Canis lupus familiaris: one gene and its partners. The main gene of each other region encodes a partner of the protein of the gene in region 3 in a complex. Links are inferred from orthologs where the notes say so. Each region holds a gene or a part of one and is shown on either strand. Other genes may lie near its edges.

Evidence for each region.
Region 1: the proteins of SHC1 (region 3) and GRB2 are in contact, whole or in part, in an NMR structure (PDB 1QG1), measured with the Homo sapiens proteins. The link is inferred for Canis lupus familiaris from reciprocal best matches to the Homo sapiens genes SHC1 and GRB2. Residues at the interface, in NP_892113.4 of Homo sapiens: Asp423, Asp424, Pro425, Ser426, Tyr427, Val428, Asn429, Val430; in NP_002077.1 of Homo sapiens: Arg67, Glu71, Arg86, Ser88, Ser90, Asp94, Ser96, Gln106, His107, Phe108, Lys109, Leu120, Trp121.
Region 2: the proteins of SHC1 (region 3) and NTRK1 are in contact, whole or in part, in an NMR structure (PDB 1SHC), measured with the Homo sapiens proteins. The link is inferred for Canis lupus familiaris from reciprocal best matches to the Homo sapiens genes SHC1 and NTRK1. Residues at the interface, in NP_892113.4 of Homo sapiens: Met176, Arg177, Ala178, Leu179, Ser259, Ile260, Ser261, Phe262, Ala263, Ser264, Gly265, Gly266, Lys279, Asn283, Arg285, Ile301, Ile304, Gly305, Phe308, Glu309, Phe312, Lys313, Gln314, Tyr315; in NP_002520.2 of Homo sapiens: His489, Ile490, Ile491, Glu492, Asn493, Pro494, Gln495, Tyr496, Phe497.

Annotation. Positions count from the first base shown.
Region 1 is NC_049230.1:5,987,231-5,991,482, forward strand, and holds the start of GRB2 (growth factor receptor-bound protein 2), read left to right. Parts: upstream 1-1,359; 5' UTR 1,360-1,511; intron 1,512-4,252. UniProt on the Homo sapiens protein: Non-enzymatic adapter protein that plays a pivotal role in precisely regulated signaling cascades from cell surface receptors to cellular responses, including signaling transduction and gene expression.
Region 2 is NC_049228.1:41,137,476-41,141,730, reverse strand, and holds the start of NTRK1 (high affinity nerve growth factor receptor), read left to right. Parts: upstream 1-1,398; coding exon 1,399-1,610; intron 1,611-4,255. UniProt on the Homo sapiens protein: Receptor tyrosine kinase involved in the development and the maturation of the central and peripheral nervous systems through regulation of proliferation, differentiation and survival of sympathetic and nervous neurons.
Region 3 is NC_049228.1:42,491,490-42,494,415, reverse strand, and holds part of SHC1 (SHC-transforming protein 1), read right to left. Parts: intron 2,505-2,926; coding exon 2,441-2,504; intron 2,283-2,440; coding exon 2,163-2,282; intron 1,920-2,162; coding exon 1,866-1,919; intron 1,694-1,865; coding exon 1,642-1,693; intron 1,479-1,641; coding exon 1,352-1,478; intron 590-1,351; coding exon 391-589; intron 304-390; coding exon 234-303; intron 152-233; coding exon 20-151; intron 1-19. UniProt on the Homo sapiens protein: Signaling adapter that couples activated growth factor receptors to signaling pathways. Participates in a signaling cascade initiated by activated KIT and KITLG/SCF.

The DNA of each region.
Region 1 (4,252 bases), on a different chromosome or scaffold from region 3:
GCACTATTTTGTTGGCTTCCAGGGAGCACACTACCATTAGATACGTTCTGTTCTCTTTAATTGGAAAGAGCTTTTGGAACTGAAAAATAGGAGTTACTTCTTCAAGCCTCATCTGCTGCTCCCCCGTTCTCACCCGCCTCACACAGGAATCGAACAACTTAGCATCGCACAGAACACGACTCTCTCTCACGCCTCCGTTCCTTTGTACAGGCATGCGGTTCCCTTCGCCCGAAGCGCCTTTCCCCGACAGCTCCGTCTAGTGAACTCCTACTCGTCCTCCAAGACTCAGCTCAGACATCATCATCACCTTCTCTGGGAGGCTATTCTGAGATGGGCAGAGTAGCAGTTCTCCCTCCCATCTTTTTAGCTTCCTCAGCATTCTCCCAAATAATTCTAACATTGCATATGGCATTTTTTTGTTTTCTTCCGCTCCTCTAATTTTTTAAAAGATTTTACTTATTCAAGATTTTATTTATTCAATTCATTTTTAAGATTTTATTTATTCAAGATTTGATTTATTCAATTCATTTTTTAAGATTTTATTTATTCATTTATTCATTTATTATTCATAAGATTTCATTTATTCATTATTATTCACACACAGAGGCAGAAACATAGGCAGAGAGAGAAGCAGGCTCCATGCAGGGAGCCCAATGTGGGATTCGGTTCAGGGACTCAAGGATGACGACCTGAGCCAAAGAAAGATGCTCAACCGCTGAGCCAGCCAAGCCTCCCTCTCCGGCTCCTGTAGACCGCGATTTCCTCGATTTCCTCGAGGGCCGAGATACCTGTTCATCATTGTACCTCTTTACCCAACACCTGTATACCTATACCTATGCCTAGGATTAGCACACATCAGGCACTTGATTAGACCCATGAGCGAAGAATATGTTCATTCGTCTAACAGTGCGGTTTGGACCGAATTCTCAAGCATTTCAAAAGCTGGTCCTCTATTTGGAGCGCTTCAGGATAGAGGGAGATTCCGACATCCCCCGGCAAAATCCTCGGTTTGATGGCAGGAAAAGGGAAGTGATTAGGCTGTGATGAAGAGTTGCTCCTTCAGGGCTCAGCTGTCATCTACCCTCCTTGGCACAGAGAGGGTTACAGCGACCCAGAGGCGGGGCCACGTGGGTGCCACCTGCTCCGGGGCGGTCTGGCGCAGGCGCCCTGGCGTCTAGACGGCGGCTACCTGCGGGGCCCCGGCCGAGGAGGAGCGCGTGCGCTCTGGGCCTTTTCCGCCGGGGGAAGTCTCGCGGGGGCGGGGCGAGGCGGGACGGGGCGGGGCCGCGCGGGGAAGTTCTCGCGGGACCCCGACGAGGAGCGGAAGCCAGGCGGCTGTGTTGCTGCTGCTAGCGAGCGAGCGGGCGGCGGCGGCGGCGGCTGCGACGAAGACTGAAGCGGCGACGGCGGCGGGAGCAGGCGCTGCCCTCGGGGAGCAGCAGCGCGGTCCGCGGCCGCTCGCACCGCTGCAGACGGGTCGGCCGGGCGCGGAGCGGAGCTGCTGCGCCACGGTGAGTACGGGCGGCGGCGGCGGCGGCGGCGGCGGCGGCGCTGCTGCTGCTCCGGTGCTGCTGCTCCCCTGCTCGGCAGCGGGAGGTGGCCCGCGAGGACCGGGCCCGGTCTACCGAGGGCTGCCAGGGTTGGGGATCAGGGTCGGGGCGACGAGGCCTGGCGCGGAGAACGGAGTCCCCCGGGCTCCGTATTTCCCTTTTTGGGGCGCTTCCTTCCTGGGGACCGTCCTTCCCTTAGCTTAGCTCGGGGCAGGAGGCCGGGTGCGCCTCTTTAAGTTTCACGCTTTCTCGGGGGACGGCTTGCGCAGAGGGGCCCGGGAGAACCCCGGGAGCCCTGGGTACTCATTCTGTGAGTCAGTCTGACTCGGCCCGGCCCGGGAGGCGGGGGATTCGCCGCGGCTGCAAGTGTGGTGATTGATGCTCTTGCGACCTGCACGGCCACCACGTCACCATCTCCCGGTGTCTTTGGGCCAGAATTTGGGGAGGGAGCCCACCGACCCTATGAATACCGTGATTTAGAACTTTTGCTGCCGGAGCCAGCTGAGATGTCTAGTTTTTTTGTTTTTGTTTTTTTGAAACTACACTGAAAAATACTTGTAAAGAACAATAAGCAGCAGTTGGTTGGAAATGCTCCGAGGAAAGGTTTCTGTGCAAGAGGATAAGGAAGGCACTGGTATTTTTCATTTGCATCGCTCTCCATATACGCCCCGTGAGTTAACAGCTCGTTTAGGGAGTTCTTCCAAAAGGTACGATTTGCAGAGGAGCCGAAGTGCACTCGACCTGTGTCTTTTGGTACTGTTGACTCAGAAAAGAGCCCAAAAGACACATGAAAGAAGATAGCATATCTCTTTGGCTTTCCTGTCTCTCTCTCTCACTTTATACTTCTCCAGTAGTTGCCTTCCCTTTCTACCTACTTGTCTCCATTTTCACTGGGGACACTAAGTGTTTGCTTGTGTAATGCAAGTCATTTGCTCATCCCTCCCCCCCTTCTTCTAATCTACTTCCCCTTCCTCCTTTTTGTCCCCTCTTTGGCATAATTTTTCAAGGTTTCTGCCCTTTGGTGCAGTTTGTCTTCTCCCTCATTTAAAGATTCCGTTTTCTCTCCGGGGAAGATACCCTTTTTCCTGCTTTATCCTTCACTTTGAAGCGTCCACTGTGTTCCTTCAGTCAGCCAGAAGAGTTGCCAGAGAGCCTTGGGAGACTTTAAGTTCTCCCCCTGGGAACTGGGAGGCTCAAAGGATTGAATTCATCCGTAAGTAATCAATACTGCCACTAGGTCACAAGTGTAGCTTGCTTGTGTTATTTGTGTTTTAGTTGTTCTCTTCATTTTAACATTGTGCTTTTGTGCCTGCTTACACTTTTCTTCCTATGTCTCTTTTATACTAGTAAGGAAGATTGGGTCAATTTGGGGTTTGTAGGACTTCTTTTTCGGCTTTTAGTGGGAGTGGTGTGTGTTAGAAAATGAAAACCAACCTTAGACCTATGTTACAGTAGAATTAAGATAACATTAAATATTTAAGGGAATAGAATTTCTTTAGATCACTGATGAATTAAAACTTGCCCATTGGGCAGCCCCGGTGGCGCAGCGGTTTAGCGCTGCCTGCAGCCCAGGGCGTGATCCTGGTAGACCTGGGATCGAGTTCCACATCGGGCTCCCTGCATGGAGCCTGCTTCTCCTCTGCCTGTGTCTCTGCCTCTCTCTCTCTCTCTCTCTCGCTCTGTGTCTCTCATGAATAAATAAAATAAAATATTTAAAAAAAAAAACAACTTGCCCATTGTGGCAATTGGATTCTTTACCAGGGTTCTTCTAATGGGGCATCGTTGTTACTGTTCTTGGGGTTTTTTCGATATAAATAACTGTTTCATTACTCCTTCCTTTGTCCAAAATTTTCTGAATTCCCAAAATAAAAACCGAAGTTAATTCTTGTAATTGGCTTTCTTTGATACTAAAAGCAAGCATTTAAGTGCTTGAGGCAGTTTACTCCCTTAGCAAGTGTATTCAGATTTGAGGGATTGCTGGGTTTTAAATACTACTAGTTGATGGTACTTAGCAGTTTTTTTGAGAAATTGCTGTTATGTTGCCTGTTGTGCAGCAGCAGTTCTGATTGTTGCCTAGAACAAAATAATAATAGATTTTGGAGAAATTAATACAGAATAGAGATGTACCATGCTCTCCTGAGAGAAATTAATAGTTCCTTGCTTAGTTCAAAAGACTTTCCTAGCACTACTGAAAGGCTATTGAGAGCCCTTGGTTTTATTTGTTAAAGTTGGCTTTTTCCTAGTTGAGCCAAGTGAATGTGCATTACTTTTATTTTATGCAAAGACATTGTAGTGCATTATCTGGAATGCAAAGTTTGAAATCTGGTTAAGGCATTCTACTAGTACAGCAGTGATTCTTAAAATTTAGCATGCTTAAGAATTACCTGTGAATCTGGGATGCCTGGGTGGCTCAGGAGGTTGAGCATCTGCCTTTGGCTCAGGGCGTGATCCCGGGGTTCTGGGATCGAGTCCCACATCAGGCTCCCTGCTACGAGCCTGCTTCTCTCTCTGCCTGTGTCTCTGCCTCTTTCTCTCTCATGAATAAATAAATAAAATCTTAAAAAAAAAAAAAAAAGAATTACCTGTGAATCTTATTTTAAATTAGGCTCTGGGGCTAAGGCCACTACATTGCAAAACTCCAGAAGGCATCCCACAGTGAATCAGTGTCTGAATGAGACTATTTTGATGCAGCTGGTCCAAGG
Region 2 (4,255 bases), about 1.4 Mb from region 3:
GACCCGGCGGAGCGAGCCTGCGGAAACCCGGCGGGAGCGCGAGCCGCGTCCTGAGCATGCAAGCCGTTCTCCTGCCGGAGCCCCTCGCAGCCCCCGAGGCTGCCACTCCGCTTTCGCGCGAGGCTCCATCCCAGCCAAGTCCCTCGCCACAACCGAGATCCTGTGGGCCCGCTTCTGTCCGGTCGCCTTCCCAAGCCCGCTGCCGTCGGTCTGTCCGTCCCTGTCTCGGAGCTGGAGGACGGCCTGCGCTGGGAGCCTGGCGAAGGGCCAGCCGCGCCTCTCGCCCTCCGAGGGCTTGCTTCGCGCTCTCCCTGCGGCCCTGCTCTCCCTGCCCGAGTCCCTCCTCCCGGACCCTCTTGCTCGCCCTTACCGGCCCTCCCCGCTTGAGACCGGCGGGCTCCTTCGGCCACCGAGGCCCGCGAGGCGGGAGGCGCTGGGGATCCCGGGGCTTTCCGGGTGCGCGGCCCTCGAGGGCCGACGGGTCCCCAGCTCCACCCGCGGGCGGCTCCCGGGTCCGAGGAGCTAAGAGAAGATCTATTAATTTCTCCGTGCAGAAATCGATGCTCTTGTCAGGGCGGCGATCGATGCCAGCCCAGCCCGGCGGGACCCCACCCGGCCCGGGCCCGGCGCTGGCCGGCTGGGGTCAGGGCGGGTCGCTGGGGCCGGGGACGCCTCTCGGTGGGGTTGCAGACCGCGCCCCCCCGCCCTGGAGCTCGCACCTCTGCGCGCGGGCCTCCAGCGCCACCCTGTGGTCTCTCCCGAAAGCGGGCGTCCGGCTCCCTAGGCTCCCTTCCCGGGCTGTTTCGGGGCGACACATTACCTCGGCTGTGCCTTCTTTCCCCAGATCCTGCGTTCGGTCCTTTTGGGATCCCTTGCCCTTTCTTCCTACGGTTAGAGAGTGTTGCACCTCATTTACCCCAAGTGACATCGTACACTGCCCCCGGGGCGCGCACCGTGAGGAGGGAGATCTGAGGGCGGGGGTGGGGGATGGGGGGCGGTGGACGATGGTGGGGGACCGGGCTGGCTGGGACGACCCCGACGGTAACCTTGCCCCTGCCCTGTCATCTCCCCGCCCCCTAAGGGCAGCATAGGCTGGGAGAAATAACGGATCAACTTCTCAGCCGCAGTCCCCCGCCCCAGCAAGGACCTCCAAGGCGTTCCTTCTGCGACAGAGGGTTTTGGGGGAGGAGGGGCTCGGGGTCCCCAGAAAGGGGTAGGGGCGGCCTGGGGGCCAGGACCCGAGTGGCGGAGGTGGAGCTGGAGGGGGCAGGGCGGGGCGGGGCGGGTCGCGGGCCCCGCCCTTTCCCGGCGGCCGGGTCTTTAACGCGGCGGGCGCACGTGTCTGGGGAGGCCCGGCGGCCGCGGCTGGGAGCGCACGGACGGCTGCCCGCCGGCGCGATGCTGCGAGGCGGACGGCTTGGGCAGCGGGGCGGGCACGGCCGGGCGGCGGGGCCTGGCAGCCTGCTGGCCTGGCTGGTGCTGGCGTCCGCGGGCGCCGCGCCCTGCCCCGATGTCTGCTGCCCCCACGGCCCCTCGGGGCTGCGCTGCACCCGGGCCGGGGCCCTGCAGAGCCTCCACCGCCTGCCAGGCGTTGAGAACCTGACGGAGCTGTGAGTGTCCCGCGGGCGGGTGGGCGGACGGGCGCGGGCGGGCGGAGCCCTGCCCCGAGGGCGCGGACTCTAGTCAGGCTGGCGGGGTCCAGAGGCTGCACCTGGGCCACCTCCGCCCGCCGTGGCTCTCGGCCACCACCGCAATGACCCTCTGGACCGTGCCTAGTGCTCGGTGCAGCTGGGGCAAGGGGCTGTCCGTGGACCAGATCTGAGACAGCCCAGCCATCTGGAAGCAGCCTTCGGGAGATCAGACTGGAGTCCAAGCTCTGCCTCCTGGAGGGGGGGTTGGTTAGCTGCCGAGAACCCCACTGTTTGGCACCCTTACCGCCTTAGCCCCTTAAGGGGGAAGCTGGTCCCTACCCCGTTCCATGCCATGACCTGGCAACACCAACTCTTGCCTCTGGAACTGGGAATTTAATTGGAATAGGTGGGAGGTGGTGAGGAGGCATAGCTTGGTGCCTGCGCTCTCCTCTGCATTTCCACCATTTCTCATCCCCACTATGCTTTGATTTGGATGTAGAAAATGAGACTTCTAGCTTTCCTCACCCCATCTCCTTTTCCACCTTGTCCCCCTATTTGAGGCAGAGAGCCAGGGCTCTTGTTGACAGACTCTCCTCTTTTCAGGGCTCCAAACTAAGAGAAAACTCCAGCATTCTGTAGTACTCTGACATCCTGCAGTAATTGGTTACAAAATACTGGAGTACTTCTTAGCAGCTGGTGAAACCTATGGGAGTGTTCTGTAATAATTGGCCTAGAGGTACTTGAGCATCACATGGTGATGCCTGGAAAATACTTGAGTATTCTATGTAGCTGATGGGGCCAGCAAGACTTTGAGAAGAGGGGAGAAAAATCCCCCTCCTGCCGCCTGGGACTTAGAGGGTGGGCAAGGAACCCTGGCCTCATGCGGTGACGGTGACAGGTTGGAAGGCATCCGAGGTGGGAACCATCACTGTCTGGAAGTTACTTGAGCAGCCTGAGATAATTGGCAGTGAGTTACTCCGGTATCTCGTGGTAATTAACGGGAAGGTCCTCAATCTCTCTCTTTAATGGCCCTAGGGAGACCAGGAAGAGAGGAGATGGCCTTGTCTGGGTCTGGGCCTAGGACTCTGCATGATGGGAGGGGCTGCTACCCCCAGCCCAGTCCTCCCTGTGCCTTCATACCAGGGCCCCAATCCTGAATGTTCTTCATCAGAGCTCTTTTCCCATTCCCTTCCCCAAGTGGGTCCAACCCCAGCGGGGGAGGGGGCGGGGTGGGGGAGTGGACTTGCTGGGCTGGGGACCAGGAGGCATGCAGGGTGGGGAGCCGAGAGGTTCCTCTGGGTGGGGCAGCAGCCTGACCCCCTGCCTCTGCCTGCCCATCCCCTCCTCCTCCCTCACCCGCAGAGCTAACGAGGAGATAATGGACTCAAAAGACAGATTGATGATGAATCCAAACGAATGAGGCAGCTTTGAGTGTGCTGCCTGACAGCTTGCACACAGCCGCCACCCCTCCCTGGGTCCCTATAGCTCTAAACCCTGTGAGCAGGGACCTGCTCTCGGCCCCAGTCACTGGAGATTGCTCTCTAGGCCTCCCAGTGGAGGACCCCCTACCTGGCTCTGCTGCTGGGGCCCAGGCTGGGAAGGGGGAGGGGGAGAGGTCACTGGGACTGTTCCTGGTTCCAGCTAAGGAGAGTGAGAGGAGAGTTCTGAGAACAGGCAGTGAGTCAGGGGCCCCTGGCGAGTGTGATGTGTGCGTGTGTGCGTGTGTAGGGGTACACTGACATGCCATTGCAGGACACCCGAGTTCCCAGGAACTCCATGGCGTGCCAGATCCAGAAGCTGGGCAGGGCCCAGGGCGTCAGCAGCCTCCATCCCCACGTGTGCATCCTCCTGTCCGGCTCCCTATCTGGCTTTCTCCGGAGCTCTATCCTTATCTCTGTGTCTCTGTCCTTATCCTTATCTGTCTGTTCCCTCACCAGTCTCTCTCTCTGCCAGTCTCTTCTTGCTCATCGTCTCTTTCTCGGAGTCTCTGTTTCACTTTGTCTGTGTTTTCCTGCCCTGCCTCCCCCCTCCCCTGAGCCTTCCCATCACTGCCTTGCCATGTAAGCTAGCCTGTCTGGGCCCCTTCACCCCCAACCCCTTCCCTGGGTGCCCCTCCCAGTGCCCCTCTTCCCCTTCTTGGGTCCCTCCTGGGGCAGCCTCTGAGCCTCTCGCTGTACTGCTGTAGGGTGGAAGGTGGTGGTAAGGATGGCTGCCTGAGAGTAGGGAGGGGCCTGTCTTTCTGAGGTTGTGTGTGAGTGAGCGTGTGTGTGTGTGTGTGTGTGTGTGTGTATGTGCCGCAGTGGGGGGCAACCCAGATAGTGACCCTGTGTTTGGGTACACACATCCTTGCATGACCACAGAGTCCCCTCTGTGCTGGGGGGCAGTGGCTCTGGTGAGCCTTGGTTCTCTGTGGCAGTGAGCGTTCCAGTGTGACACCCATCTCTGAGCATGTATAGGGGAGGCCCTGTGTAGAAAAGCAGAACCCCAAGCTGAGAATGGGCTTCTGTGTGTTTATGAATGTGAATCCGTGTGTGCACATGAGAGATATATGTACACCATGTCCATGTGTGACGTGTAAGCATGCTGATGTGCACACCTTGGTCCGTGCACACACAAGTGCATGT
Region 3 (2,926 bases):
TGGAGAGAGAAGCACTCACTCATATCAAAGAGATCTCGGGGCACGCTGCCATTGATGGCAGGATTGGGGGGCCCAGCCCCACCCCCTGCTTGCCGGGCCCTGTCTAGGTTCTGGACATTGACGTAGGATGGATCATCAAAGAGCTCTTTACCTGATAAGGAAACAGAGGCATCACCGTGACCCCAGCCCTGCCTCCACACCCCTGACTCTGCCCTTCCCAGCTCCCTTCACACCTGGGCAGGGTGGTGGAGGTGGCATCTGTTTGCGAATTTCTGGGTCTCCCCCAACAGGCTGCCCCACAGGCTGCAGAAACAAAAATGAAATGAGACCAGAAGCCCAAATTGGCCACTCCCATCCCAGGCCCAGCCCACCTCCATCCAAATAACTTACCAGCGTTGCTCCCAGGTGGCTGGGGGTCTGGACAACGTGTGGGGTGGGCCGAACAGCCCCCAGGGGGGCTGCTTCCCGAAGCCTCATGTCCACCACTCCCCCAAGAGGGGGCTCCTTCCCCGGGAAGTCATTATAGTACTGGTGGTCAGGTGGCTCTTCCTCCTCCTCATCCCAAGCTGAGCCGTCAAAACCAGCCATCCTGAGAGGGACAGGAGGGAACAAGGGGGCACAGACAGTGGCCATGGACTGGGTACTTCCTGCAGGGTGGGCCTGAGTCTGGGCGTTTCCTACACACAGGCATTCTATCCCCCTGGCAGCCCTGCAAGGTATCTATACCCCCTTCTCCAGTGATACAGGTGAGATGAGGAGCAGAGGTGGAGACGTTTGCTTATTGTTTCACAATTAAACGGTGGCAGACCTGAATGGTAACATCAGATTTGATTTAAAGTTCATGTTCTCAGTTATTATGCTATCTCCCAAGAGGAAGGGGAAGCACACAGTAGAAAGAAGGGATGCACTCCAGAATATTTTAACCTCCTCTAAATACTCAGTAGCTACTGATCTAAGGTGGGAAAGAAAGGTCGAGATCTCAGGAAAAAAGACACCCTCCCTCACCCAAATTCCTGATGGCTCTATGGGCAAGAAAGTGAAAAAATAAGGACGGAGAAATGGTCAAGAAAGAGAGACAGGCCAGCAGTGAGGTGGCTGAGGACAGAAGGGCAGAGCAGCAGCACGGTGGCCTGGCATACGAGAGGAAGAGCGGGCCTGCAGAAGCAGGCAGGACCTGGCCAGACTTTCCTGACGGCCACAGGAAACGTAAGAATAGCAGGAAGTGGGAAACAGGCACACAGGTTATTTCCCCCTGACCCTCTCTGAGCTCAAGCGTGGGCAGTGGAGCAGACCTGCTTTCTCAGTTCCAGCTAGTGCCTAGGAGCTGCCCATACCCTGCGCACCCGCTCACCTGTCATGAGGGGTGACCAGCTTGGGCGGGTTCCTGAGGTATTGTTTGAAGCGCAACTCGAAGGCCTGGCCGATGGTGCTGATGACATCCTGAGCAAGCCCTTCGGGACATTCCAGGATATGACAGGCTGGGGGCACAGTAAAGGCAGTCAGTGAGTTCTGGTGGACTGCTGGGAGGAGGCGCGGTCAGGGGCCTCATCTTCCCAGCCGAAGCCCTACTTAGCTACCCAGGTCCTGCTCACCTGCCTCACGGACAGCCGGCCCCACCCAGCGCTCCCCACCACGCCTCACCTCTCTGATTCACCGGGTCTTTGGCAACATAGGCGACGTACTCAGCTGTGTCCTGGGGTGGGCAGGGTCAGAAGAAGCCACTTAGCTCCAGTTTCCAGCCCACCTCATTCCTGACCCCTACACATCCTGGTCCTTTCCAGACACCACTTGGACCCCAGCACACCCTCTTTCCAGACAGCATGGCCCCTACTCCTCCCCCACCTCCACCCTGTTCCCCAACTCACCGGGTCCCCACCGGACGCAAAGGAGATAGACTGCATGTGGTGGTTGGCGATGATCTGAGGGTTAGGGCAGGGTACAGAGAAGGAAGGGAATAACACAGGTCAGGCAGCCTTGGGGCCTTCCTGGGCACCCCCAGCCCGGGCCCGGAGCCCTGGAGTGTCAGTCCCACCCTTTTGGCTTCTTAGCCCAGGTCCTCCTATGCTCCTCCTTCCTTCCTGTCTTAGCTCCTGGCCCTGTGGCCAGGTCCCCGCTCCGCTCTCCCAGCAGTGTTTCTGGCCCCCTTGCCCAACCCCACCAACCTGTTTGCAGTCTGCGGCCATAAGGTTGAGGCTGCTGGTGGAGACGGTGAGAGTGATTGGCATTCCCGCAAATTTCAGATTACTCCTCCCCAGGATGGCACTGAGTGGGCGGCTACAGGGCTAGGGAAGGGCCCAGAGTCTCAGAAGTTGGGGGCTCCCCACACCACGAATCCCCCTCCCTCCGCCTTTTGGCCTTCCCCCCACAGGTCCCAGACTTATCTTCCCCCTGCTCCTCCACATTTCCCAGCAGTGCCCCCAGCCCCATCAGCCCCAGGTACCTTTCTCCTTCTTGTAGCCCCCTTGGCACCGGGCACAGCCTCACACACCAGACTGATGGCCTCCCTGGAGAGAAAGGGGTCCTCAGACCCACAGCCTGCCTCCCACTCAGCTGGGGCTGCCACAGGGCAGGGGGAGGGGAAGACCAGGCCAGACTTCAGGGGCACTCCAGGCTCTTTGTCATGGTGGATTGAATTAAAGGCCTTTAATATTTGATGACACGGAGAGGCCACTTCCTGGCTGATTGGGTTAGGGCCTCTGTGAGTCTGGCCCCACCTACTTCCAGCGACCAAATGTCCCATTCCATCCCAAAGGCAGCAGCAATCTTCCATCCACCCCATTTTATACTCAGGCTCCAGCTGCCAGCTGCCTCTGCCACCTCTCCCACCATACACAGGACTGGATAAATAAGAAGGTCCCAGACCAGAGAGGTGCTGCTTTTCATTCAGACTTAGACTGATTCCCCTAACTTTCTCTCAATCCTTTAT